Macaca fascicularis: one gene and its partners. The protein of the gene in region 2 binds, or shares a complex with, the protein of the main gene of each other region. Links are inferred from orthologs where the notes say so. Each region holds a gene or a part of one and is shown on either strand. Other genes may lie near its edges.

Region 1 (4,146 bases), on a different chromosome or scaffold from region 2:
TGAGACGGAGTCTCGCTCTGTCGCCCAGGCTGGAGCACAGTGGTGTGATCTCAGCTCACTGCAACCTCCGCCTCCTGGGTTCAAGCAATTCTCCTGCCTCAGCCTCCCAAGTAGCTGGGATTACAGGCACGCACCACCACGCCCAGCTAATTTTTGTATTTTTAGTAGAGACAGGGTTTCCCCATGTTGGCCAGGCTGGTCTTTAACCCCTGACTTCAAGTGATTCTCTTGCCTTGGCCTCCCAAGGTGCTGGGATTATATGCATGAGCCACCACACCTGGCCTCTTTTGGGTAACTTTTAATTGTATTGTGTAATTTTTTTCCTGCACTTTTTCCCCCCCATAATACACGTGACAACTGATTGAACAGTACAAAAAGTTATCTACATAGACTAGGAAAGGCAGATCTCTCTCCCACTCCCCTGACCCTAAGTTCCCCTCCCCATATTCGTGTTTAACTCTTTAAAGATGCAATGTTTAGCTAGTGCCTGTGTCTAAGAAAACAAAACCGTATTTCTGTTTTTAAAGATCTGAAGTCAGTTCCATTTGTTTTGCTGCCTCTCAATCCTTTTAATTCAGCTAGCACTCAATGATCCCTTGGGGCCTGATACGAGGTGGGTTTTCAAGGAAAAGGTCTACAGTTCAGAATGCCAGCCCAGGAGGTCGACTCTTCACACTCACTCCCCACCGTAGCCAGCCTGTTCCGTTCTACCCTAATTCTTGTTCAGGAGGAAACGTCTTTAAGGAGTTCCTTTCAGCAATGGGATTCCAGGATTCGAGACAAGTTGTGTAAACATTCTCTAGTTGGATGCCGCCCTTTCCATCTAAGAGAATCAAAACAATTTACCATCATCTACTATTCTGCATTTTAAATCACATAGAGTCTTGAATCAGAGTAAGAGTGGCCGCTCCATGAGAGGCGCAAAGTCGCATTTCCTAAAGTCTGGTAGTGAGCTGGCTGACAAGGCAGGACGACAGACCACAAGGTCCTTGAGGGGTTGTGTCTTACTTTTCAGTCACAGAGCTTGATAGAATGCCAGGCACATTGTAGATCCTGTTAAATATCCATTGAATAAAATGAACAACACTTGGGGTTCATCAAGTATATCCAGATTTAATTGAAATTTTTGCCACGAGACTCACACTTGGTTTCCAAGATGTTGACTCCTGAGTCTTAGTATATCCTCTAGAGTTCTGGAACCTGTTTGGTATTTGGAGAGAACTTTTCTCTCTCCTTTTATCTCCTATCAATATGCATCTAGCACTTGAGGAGGTTTAAACTGTCAATTTCGCATGTCATATATCTTGCAACTTAATTTTGCATGTTATATATCTTGCAACCAGGTTTAAGGACCTTTGGTTCCTAGAAGAATAAATGCCTCACACACAGCAAGGTCACAGCAAAAATAATTAACTTATTACAACAATAAAAGGCAAATCATAATTCCTATGTTTTCTTTAGTTAGAGATTGTCTAACTAATTTTTCTTTCCCTTAATTTGAGCTATATTGGATCACTTTGCATTTTTATATATTCTCAGAGGTATTCACATGTTTTCTTAAAATAGAAGATCCAGTCTTTTTCAATATCCCTGCTCCCACCACATTACCCCTTATATAGGTGCGCACAAAGTGGCCCTCATTTGAATCGTTGCTAATGGATTGATTATTGTGGATTGTGATCCAATTCTCCACAAACCTGATCTTTAAAAACATTCCAGTTGTCTCACATTGCCAATAAGTTTCTAACTAGCTTGACTTGCTACTGACTGGACACCTTTCAGTTCCACGGAGAAGAATCACCAATGCGTACTGGGTACCGGGGTACCTGAGTATCTGAAACAGCCTTTAAACCTGTTAAAGTTTAAAGGTTGGATGGATGGATGCATGGACAAATGAATGGGTGGATGGGTTGTATACTTGGCCATTCTCACCAAGACAACATTCCTGGACGGTCTGTGTTTAATACATTTTTCCAAGAATTTTTATAAGGCCAGAATTGGAAAGAGCCCCCAGATTTATCTATTACAATCTGGGTATGACCTGGGAATCTTCTTTCCAACCTGCCTAGTTAACCCAGCCTGAAGTCCAGGAGCTGAAACTTAGTGTCTGTTGATCTGCCTGGCTTCTTTTTCTCTTAGACTCCTTGCTTTTTTTCAGTATATTTTCTGAATCTTTTGATGGGGCAAAGGGAATATGGCTCCTACTGTGGGAAGGGTTTTAGTTTAAACAAAAAGTATGCATGTTAGAAAAACCAGCAAATACTAATTAGGAGAGTGACAGAATCTTCCCCTAAGATTTAAATACACACACACACACACACACACACACACACACACACAGACAATAAGTGGTTCCTGGGCAGAAAGCTTGGAGGGTTGGATTAGCCCTCCAGTCTAGTCCCCAACCTCCCCAAGCCCCCTGTAGATGGACAACAGGGGCGCACCCCTTCTTCCCAGCTTGAAGTCCTACTCACTGTAGATGGTCTGATGTGGTGCGCCATCCACGTGGCCATTCTTGTGGATCTGCAGGTGGTAGCTGTTCCTGGCTGTGGCTGTGTACAGGTGGATCAGGCCACCCCAGCTGGAGCCGAGCAATGGGGAGGCATTGGGATAGGCTCTGATGACGCTCATGCTGCAGACGCTGCACAAGGCACAGACCCAGAGCCTGAGGCGGGCCCCCAACATCACGCCCTGCTCTGAGTGGCTGGTGCTGAGATTGAAACCTGACACTCCTGTCGGGACTCTCCTGGCCCAGGCCTCACTGGCCTTTTCCTTCTCCCTTGCAAGTAGCTGGTGTGAGGATCCTAGACTGAATTCCCTCCTTTTTGCCATCAGACTTTTAAAGGGTAGCAGTGTGACATCAAACAGGAAAAACTCCGCTGTCCACATCCTCTGTGTTGTAATCAGCCCATTGAAAGAGAGTGCAGAGACCCCGGAGGCGCACGGAAGGCACGTCGGTTCCAGACACACACACCCCCCTCAATTTCAAGCCAACGCTCCAAAAAAATGAATGACGCGTGGGCAAAAGTTATCTGCCGCTCTGGGCTGTCTGTTGACCTGTCCCACGTCCATCAGGAAATGCGAAGGCAGCCAGCGGTTCCCAAAAAAAATCCAGCTTCAGTCAAGCAGTCAACCGACTCCCAGGCAATTAATCTCCCGTCGAGTTTACTTATTTTGGTTTTCTTTAAATTCCAATCAGCAAGTATGTATCAGTGCTTAATCTATGAGCAGGATTCGGTGGCTAGCTTGTAGGATATAGAGATACATGACACCGTCAGGCAGATGGCATCCTCTGAGAACCCCCAATTCGTGAAAGATGGGAGCTGGGAGCAGGGGCACAAAAACCAAAGTTGCCATTTTGGGAAGATTTTGAAATGGAAGAAAAAGAAGCAAGGTCTTGAGCTCACTGAACATGCCAAGGTTCGATTTCTCAGCGTCCTTAGTTTGGACTTCGCTGAACATGCCAAGTTTCAATTTCTCAGTTTCCCTAGTTTGGACTATCGAGGACAACTAAATGAATAGTCTCTCCAGGAGTAAGGAGACCCGTTCAGAGACCTCATGGGGATTGGAAAGGCTGCTGGCTGAGCACCGGGAATCCGAGCCTCAGGACAGGGTGTCCCCACATTTAGTGTCTGTACATGAGTGCTCAGCTTGGTGCTGGATGCCTGCCTGCAGATGCTGTTCACAGTGCGCCCTCTGGGAAGCTACACCTCATGTTGGGGGGAATAGTCCTGGCACGCACAGTCTAAAGGGGAGCAAGCTACTGCAACATACACCCGAAAAAATACCCAAGGAGATTGCTCCTCTTCCAATTTCCCATGTACTGAGTACATGCCATGTACAGGCATCAAGCTAGACATCACGTACAAGTTGATATAGGAGACAGCAAGATGTGATTCCTATCTCGAGGAGCTCAAATCTAATGCAGGAGGCAGATAAAAATAAGTAACCGTAATACAAAATGAGTGCAAGCATACAGGTATAGACAGAAAGAAATGGCATCTGTTACCCTACATTTGTGCAGTTTTTTTTTTATAGTTTACAAAGCATTTTCACATCTATTAGCTCATTTGAACCTCACTGCCACTCTGTGAGAGGGGCACACCATGCATTATCAAGATTTTAATACTTTACATGAAGAAATGG
Region 2 (3,577 bases):
CTGACCAAGCCAGTACTGTGGCTGTCAAGATGCTCAAAGGTGAGTGTGACCCAGCGTGGTGGCTCACACCTGTAATGCCAGCACTTTGGGAGACCGAGGTGGGAGGATCACTTGAATCCAGGAGTTCGAGGCCAACCTGGGCAACATGGCGAGACTTCATCTCTACAAAAAAAAATAAGAAAATTAGTTGGGTGTGGTGGTGTGTGCCTTTAGTCCCAGTTACTAGGAAGGCTGAGGCAGGAGGATCCCTTGAACCCAGGAGTTGGAGGTTGCAGTGAGCCATGATCACACCACTGTATTCCAACTTGGGCAACAGAGTGAAACCCTATCTGAAAAAAAAAAAAGAAATAAAAGTAAAAGGTGAATGTGGCAGCCTGGAGGAGGTGCTATGGCTTTGGGACTAATAGAAGGGGATCACAGTGCTACCGGGTGAGCCCTGGAGCTGGGAGAGGCTGTGGGATCCCACCTTTAAACCTGCAGTTCAGCTCTGCTCCTGACCCTGGCAAGTGACTTCTGAGCCTCAGTTTTCCCTCGTGTCATATGGGGTAAATAACAGTCCCTACTCCCAGCCCAGGGACTGTGGAAAGTGCCTGGCTCATATTCAGCCCTCAACAAATCGTCACCATTGGGGTGACGATGATGAGAAGGATTTGGTGTGACAGGCTTGATATCCTCTGTCAGCGTCAGTCTGTGTCAGCCTTGACTTCACCTCTTCTCAGCCTCACAGGCCCTCCCCCGCCTTCCCTGTGGTTCCCCCCAGACACACCCTCAGCCTCCCTGGGACCCTCCCTAGGTCCATCCCGCGTCCACTGCTCTAGAAGGACAGCCCTTCTGCTTGCACCCAGTCCCAGCCCCGAGGGTGCTCTTGCCAGGCACTCCCGTACCCCGCCCATCAGGTCCTCTCGTTGCAGTTCCCCAGCGCCCCCTGCAAGAATGGCCTCAACTGCTCTTCTGCTCCTCCCCTCCTCTCTACACAGCTGGGGCCACCTGGTGCTCCCTGGGAGGCAGGGATTGAGAAATGTGCATTGTGACATTGCCGTGTGTGGGTGGGGAGTGTTACATCACTGGCCCAGGGCCACAGGTCAGCCCCAGGGGCCCAGCCAGAGAAGCCAGAGCAGCCTTCTTCCCAAGCTCCCTGGCTGCGCCCTGCCTGCAGCCGGCTCCCTGAATTCCCAGGCCAGTTGGACGCCAGGCCCTGGTCAAACAGACCCCAGGGTGCCAGCCTGCTTTCCGCTCCCAGAAGCTCTGACCCCATGTAGGGACTACCGCTAACCCCTCCAGAGGCAGCTTCCTTCCTGCTCCGAGCTCTTCCCCTCTCTCCTGTTTCCTGGACCTGCCCACTGGAAGGCCTGCCTCTCAGATCCTTGATATAGTTGCATCCTTGCAACTGCTGTGACAGGTAGGGTGTGACCCACTGCTCTGTTTCCCACAAGACGACCCTGAGGTTCAGAGACACTAGGAGACTTTTTCAAGGCCACACAGACTAGCAAGGATTCAGCCCTAGACCTACGTAGCCCTGGTCCAGTGCTCCTCGCCCTGCCCCTGCCTCTGCCTCGCCCTGCCCCTGCCTCTGCCTCGCCCTGCCCCTGCCTCTGCCTGTTCCCTCATGTAGTTGGAGAGCAGCCTCTTCACCCCATCTGCTGCCCTTACAGACAACGCCTCTGACAAGGACCTGGCTGACCTGGTCTCGGAGATGGAGGTGATGAAGCTGATTGGCCGACACAAGAACATCATCAACCTGCTGGGTGTCTGCACCCAGGAAGGTGGGGCCAAGGCGGGGCCGGCTGCATGGGCCGTTAGGGTACAGAGCCAAAGCTGTGGCAGTCTCTCCAAGCTCCCTCCACTCCCTCTGTAGGGCCCCTGTATGTAATCGTGGAGTGCGCTGCCAAGGGAAACCTTCGGGAGTTCCTGCGGGCCCGGCGCCCCCCGGGCCCTGACCTCAGCCCGGACGGTCCTCAGAGCAGTGAGGGGCCACTCTCCTTCCCAGTCCTGGTCTCCTGCGCCTACCAGGTGGCCCGAGGCATGCAGTATCTGGAGTCCCGGAAGGTACAGGCGGTAGGGCTCTGGGCCCCTCTCGATCTCTCCAGCTCCACTCTCTCAGGCCTGTGGCATTAAATGTCCCCAACTTCTTCCTTTCTGCTCTTTTTCATGACCCCACCTCAGTGTCCCCAGGCATTCATGCTTTCCTGCCTTCCCCACTTGTTCCTCACACTTCCCTAGAAGGGAGAGGGGAGAGGGGAGAGGGGAGAGGGGACACAGGAGAGGGCGTTCCCCATTTCTAAACCTTGACCACCTCCTCTGTAAAGTGGGTGGAGGGCCCCTGCCCCTGAGCCTGCTGGGGGGTGGTGTGTGCTCAGCTCAAGGTCAGGTGTCCTGATGCACCCAAGCCCCCACTCCCTGCAGTGTATCCACCGGGACCTGGCTGCCCGCAATGTGCTGGTGACGGAGGACAATGTGATGAAGATAGCTGACTTTGGGCTGGCCCGTGGCATCCACCACATTGACTACTATAAGAAAACCAGCAACGTGAGGGAGACGGGGCAGAACTGGATGGGAGTGGAGGGGGGCTGGGCCTGGGGTGGCAGGCATGGGAACTCGTGGGACTCTGCACTGAGGCCCTCCCTCCCCTCCAGGGCCGCCTGCCTGTCAAGTGGATGGCGCCCGAGGCCTTGTTTGACCGAGTGTACACACACCAGAGTGACGTGTGAGTCCTGCCAGCGGTCACTGTCCTACCCCACAAAAAGGGCAAGGCACTGCCCAAAGTCACATGGCCCCAGGAGGCCTGCGCTCCAGGGCTCCTTCAGATTTGTTCTGGGATCCGAGTGGGACCACACTCCAGGAGGAGCCCACTCCCCACCAGCTGGGGTGGGTCATGCCTGTGGGGTCCCCCGTCCTAGCCCTGGTCTTAGGGAGGGCGCTGGGCCACACTGAGCCCTGGCCCTGCCTCCAGGTGGTCTTTTGGGGTCCTGCTGTGGGAGATCTTCACCCTCGGGGGCTCCCCGTATCCTGGCATCCCGGTGGAGGAGCTGTTCTCACTGCTGCGGGAGGGACATCGGATGGACCGACCCCCACACTGCCCCCCAGAGCTGTGAGGCCTCATCCTGCCCTCGACCCCCACTTTCCAGTCCTCCTCCTCTGCCCTGACCTTGGCCTCAGGGTTTGTGCCGGCCAGAAGGACAACACTAACAACAACTCCTCCTCCTCCTCTTCCTCCTCCTCCTCTCCTCTTCCTCCTCCTCCTCTCCTCTTCCTCCTCCTCCTCTCCTCTTCCTCCTCCTCCTCCTCCTCTCCTCTTCCTCCTCCTCCTCCTCTCCTCTTCCTCCTCCTCTCCTCCTCCTCTCCTCCTCCTCCTCCTCTCCTCTTCCTCCTCCTCCTCCTCCTCTCCTCCTCCTCCTCCTCCTCCTCTCCTCTTCCTCCTCCTCCTCTCCTCTTCCTCCTCCTCCTCCTCTCCTCTTCCTCCTCCTCCTCTCCTCTTCCTCCTCCTCCTCTCCTCTTCCTCCTCCTCTCCTCTTCCTCCTCCTCCTCTCCTCTTCCTCCTCCTCCTCTCCTCTTCCTCCTCCTCTCCTCTTCCTCCTCC
Region 3 (3,577 bases), on a different chromosome or scaffold from region 2:
AGCAGATATGTTCACCACGAAACTAAAAAGAAAAGTTAGCCATAAACTATCTTATTCCATTGAAATGTTAGGCTGAACCCCTAAGAATGTTGATGAGGCCATTCTTGGGTGCCTGTACTGAATTGAACCAAGAGAGGAATATTTAGGATATGTTGAAGAGGCTATTTGGCTCAATGAACAAAGGAGTTTCTGCAGGCCCAGGGAGTGGAATGAAAATTGGCATGATCATTCTGGAGAATATATGGAGTCAAACAGAGAATGAGAATGGAGTTTTCAAAGAGGATATGTTAGGGGAATAAAGGCTGATAAACAACACTTGTCTTTGTAGGAAAATAGGGAGAGTAAATCAAGGAATTCAAAGGGAAAGAGAAACTCACTTCAAGTAGGGGAGAAAAAACTCCTATAATTTTCACTCTTCTTTGTAGATAAAAAGGAAACAAATGAAAATAAGATATTAGAAGTCAGTAAGAATTTATGGGAGTATAAAGTTGGTTTTATGGATGCAAAGCCCTTTTCATTGCTGTACGAAACTCCTGGCTGCATGCAAACAATGGACATCTGATCTCCTTGCAGCTGTATTTTGCTGTTTTTTGCTCTTGGCTTGTACCTTGCACCCTGGGTCTGTGGGAAACCAGAACTGTCCCAGAGTTCTGGAGGGTAGGCCAAGGTTAGATACTGGAGTGGGTTCTTTAATTTATTGTACTGATTCTTCTTAGGGAAGAATGAAGATTGCTTGTTAGAATTTTAGCTATGAGAGATGACTCTGAAACAGTAAATTAACTCCAATGACCTGAGTCATTTTGAAAACTCCCAGTTTCAGGATAAAAAATATAATCCTATTTAGAAATTCCTGGTGTGATCACAGATGTAGCATTGGTTCTTTTCACAAAACCCGTAAATTAAAAAGTACATAATCCAAAGTCAATTAAATAGTAAGATATTATAACAAATTCTTTTATTTCATTAGCTTTTCAAAATGTGGATAACACACACTCAACCCAAGGAATTTACATTTTTCCACTGACTGCTAAAAATCAATGGAAATAACTCTAGTCCTGGTAGCACCTCACTGTGGGGTGACCTACCTTTGAAATAATTTATTGGTTCCAGCTGATTTTTACATTGTTAGTCATTAAGTTAGGCTTGATGAGAAACATATAATTTGAGTTGGGGATTCAAGTATTATATTGCATTTCTCTTCACAACTAGAGATAAATTCGTCATGGTTTTTCTTTTCATAGGCTCATGCCAAAGTCTGGCATCTCTACAATACTTCTTTCCGTCCCACTCAGGGAGGCCAGGTGTCCATCGCCCTAAGCTCTCACTGGATCAATCCTCGAAGAATGACCGACCATAGCATCAAAGAATGTCAAAAATCTCTGGACTTTGTACTAGGCTGGTTTGCCAAACCCATATTTATTGATGGTGACTATCCCGAGAGCATGAAGAATAACCTTTCGTCTCTTCTGCCTGATTTTACTGAATCTGAGAAAAAGTTCATCAAAGGAACTGCTGACTTTTTTGCTCTTTCCTTTGGTCCAACCTTGAGTTTTCAACTTTTGGACCCTCACATGAAATTCCGCCAATTAGAATCTCCCAGCCTGAGACAACTGCTTTCCTGGATTGACCTTGAATATAACCATCCTCAAATATTTATTGTGGAAAATGGCTGGTTTGTCTCAGGGACCACTAAGAGAGATGATGCCAAATATATGTATTACCTCAAAAAGTTCATCATGGAAACCTTAAAAGGTATGATTTTGGGTAAAGTTCTCATTTCCTGCCAAAGTCTTCTAGAAAAAAATCTCCAAGATTATCTAACATGAACTATGTGAATTTATATTTTTAAATCCTAATGGAGACATTCAATTTGGCAATAGTAGGAATGCATTCGTGTAACACCTTTCTCATTTGGGGTCTTGAGGAACTTGAAGTAATTTTTAAAAACCCATTTGTAAATGAGAAACTGGGTTATAATATTTGTAATTACTTAACTTTCAGAGTTACTAATCTAGATTTTTAGATTAAATTGAACATAAATCCCAGGATATCTAGCTCTCTGCACATGTTTTTCAGTTCTTGTTATTTTGGTTGAGTAAAACACTTTAAAGGAAAAGGAATGTCCATGTTTCCTAGAGAAAACAGTATAAATAGATCATGCTTTTAAAGCCTTCATTTATTTATTTATTGCATCAGACACAATGCTGGGTGTCTAGGATGGAAAGTGGTACAAGACATCTTTCCAGCCCTGTAGAACATCTATTATAAATAAGGAATTATTCTGTCGAGGTGCTCAGAAATCCAAAAAAACATATTGATAGGCCTATTTTGAGGGCATTTATTTGTAGAGTTATATAGGTTTGATTAGAGTCTTTTGTGAAGAAGAGAAATCATTGGCTTACCAAACAAGAAGCATTACACTTTATTTAAGTAGGAGAACGCTCAGATGCTCTTGAATCATGATGCAAGTGCCCAGCGAAGGGTCGTGTTGCTCTTGTCCCCTCTTCCCTTTGCAGCCATCAAGCTGGATGGGGTAGATGTCATCGGGTACACCGCGTGGTCCCTCATGGACGGTTTCGAGTGGCACAGAGGTTACAGCATCAGGCGTGGACTCTTCTATGTCGACTTTCTAAGCCAGGAAAAGACGTTGTTGCCAAAGTCTTCAGCCTTGTTCTACCAAAAGCTGATAGAGAAAAATGGCTTCCCTCCTTTACCTGAAAATCAGCCCCTAGAAGGGACATTTCCCTGTGACTTTGCTTGGGGAATTGTTGACAACTACATTCAAGTAAGTCAGCTGGCAAAACCTATCAGCAGTCTCACCAAGCCCTATCACTAGTAAGTAGTGCTTCCTTCCTAGGCTGATTGTCACGGCACATTGTCCGTTCTTAGAGCCAAAACCAATTCCTTATGAGCACACTAAGGATACAGTTTGGAATGTTGCACCCTGCTCTCCAGAAATCTTCCTATCTTCATCTTGTTTAAGTTAGATGCAAAGAGAAATAAATTTAAAACATATCAATATTTAAGATCCGATTAAGACAGTGAAAAGATAAAACACTCTCTTTTCACATTGTGGTTTTTGATCCTTTTTAAGGCAGTTGAGTTTTTTCACGAACAGGATCTAACACAAAACTCCAAAGCCTCCGAGTTTCAGTGGTGGGGCTGAGACAGAGGCAGGAACATGAGGCGGACTCCTCCAGAGGCACAACTGTGGGCTCCACAAATGTGCAGAGATACCCTAAGAAAGTAAACCCTAGATCCAGTGATTCACTGGTCAGAATGTCTTTTTTAGCAATAGTCTTTGAAATGATATGAAATTTCTTCAAAATGATCAACCAATATTTATTGAGCATCTTCTCAGTAGTAAGCCCTTAACATTCTTTTAAATTTCCCAAATTTTGAAGGGACTTGTTTTCCAGCATTTGATTGGATACTCTAGTAAGCACTTATTGGATGTCTAGTGTCTCCAAAGCCTTGTGTTAGTTGCTCGGGTCGCTTGGTTAAGCGGAATGCAGGTAGAGGGTACACTGAGATGCGTAAGGGCAACCTTTGCATTCAAAGGAGCAAAGGAATCTAC

What was found.
Region 1: the proteins of FGFR4 (region 2) and FGF23 are in contact, whole or in part, in a cryo-EM structure (PDB 7YSW), measured with the Homo sapiens proteins. The link is inferred for Macaca fascicularis from reciprocal best matches to the Homo sapiens genes FGFR4 and FGF23. Residues at the interface, in NP_001341913.1 of Homo sapiens: Glu156, Lys157, Lys158, Leu159, His160, Ala161, Val162, Pro163, Asn166, Asp240, Leu242, Glu243, Arg244, Ser245, Pro246, Lys272, Val273, Tyr274, Ser275, Asp276, Ala277, Gln278, Pro279, His280, Ala308, Asp309, Ile310, Ser312, Gly336, Asn337; in NP_065689.1 of Homo sapiens: Leu32, Gly33, Ser35, Trp36, Gly37, Tyr43, Ala45, Thr46, Ala47, Arg48, Asn49, Ser50, Ile75, Arg76, Ser77, Glu78, Asp79, Ala80, Gly81, Val83, Val84, Tyr93, His117, Gln118, Thr119, Asn122, Gly123, Tyr124, Asp125, Leu158.
Region 3: the proteins of FGFR4 (region 2) and KL are in contact, whole or in part, in a cryo-EM structure (PDB 7YSW), measured with the Homo sapiens proteins. The link is inferred for Macaca fascicularis from reciprocal best matches to the Homo sapiens genes FGFR4 and KL. Residues at the interface, in NP_001341913.1 of Homo sapiens: Asp266, Gln282, Leu284, His286, Ile287, Ile289, Gly295, Ala296, Asp297, Gly298, Phe299, Pro300, Tyr301, Val302, Gln303, Val304, Leu305, Lys306, Asn311, Ser312, Glu314, Leu318, Tyr319, Leu320, Arg321, Asn322, Asp327, Thr332, Leu334, Leu341; in NP_004786.2 of Homo sapiens: Ser539, Gln540, Phe541, Thr542, Asp543, Asn545, Val546, Tyr547, Leu548, Trp549, Asp550, Val551, His553, Ser554, Lys555, Arg556, Leu557, Ile558, Val563, Thr565, Arg568, Tyr571, Val573, Ala576, Gln579, Pro580, Glu625, Arg628.

What each region holds. Positions count from the first base shown.
Region 1 is NC_088385.1:5,238,091-5,242,236, forward strand, and holds the start of FGF23 (fibroblast growth factor 23), read right to left. Parts: upstream 2,812-4,146; 5' UTR 2,686-2,811; coding exon 2,475-2,685; intron 1-2,474. UniProt on the Homo sapiens protein: Regulator of phosphate homeostasis. Inhibits renal tubular phosphate transport by reducing SLC34A1 levels. Up-regulates EGR1 expression in the presence of KL. Acts directly on the parathyroid to decrease PTH secretion. Regulator of vitamin-D metabolism.
Region 2 is NC_088380.1:184,015,206-184,018,782, forward strand, and holds part of FGFR4 (fibroblast growth factor receptor 4), read left to right. Parts: coding exon 1-39; intron 40-1,652; coding exon 1,653-1,763; intron 1,764-1,855; coding exon 1,856-2,046; intron 2,047-2,387; exon of another isoform or gene 2,388-2,403; coding exon 2,404-2,526; intron 2,527-2,633; coding exon 2,634-2,704; intron 2,705-2,950; coding exon 2,951-3,088; intron 3,089-3,577. UniProt on the Homo sapiens protein: Tyrosine-protein kinase that acts as a cell-surface receptor for fibroblast growth factors and plays a role in the regulation of cell proliferation, differentiation and migration, and in regulation of lipid metabolism, bile acid biosynthesis, glucose uptake, vitamin D metabolism and phosphate homeostasis.
Region 3 is NC_088391.1:12,764,136-12,767,712, forward strand, and holds part of KL (klotho), read left to right. Parts: intron 1-1,241; coding exon 1,242-1,752; intron 1,753-2,516; coding exon 2,517-2,785; exon of another isoform or gene 2,786-2,835; intron 2,836-3,577. UniProt on the Homo sapiens protein: May have weak glycosidase activity towards glucuronylated steroids. However, it lacks essential active site Glu residues at positions 239 and 872, suggesting it may be inactive as a glycosidase in vivo.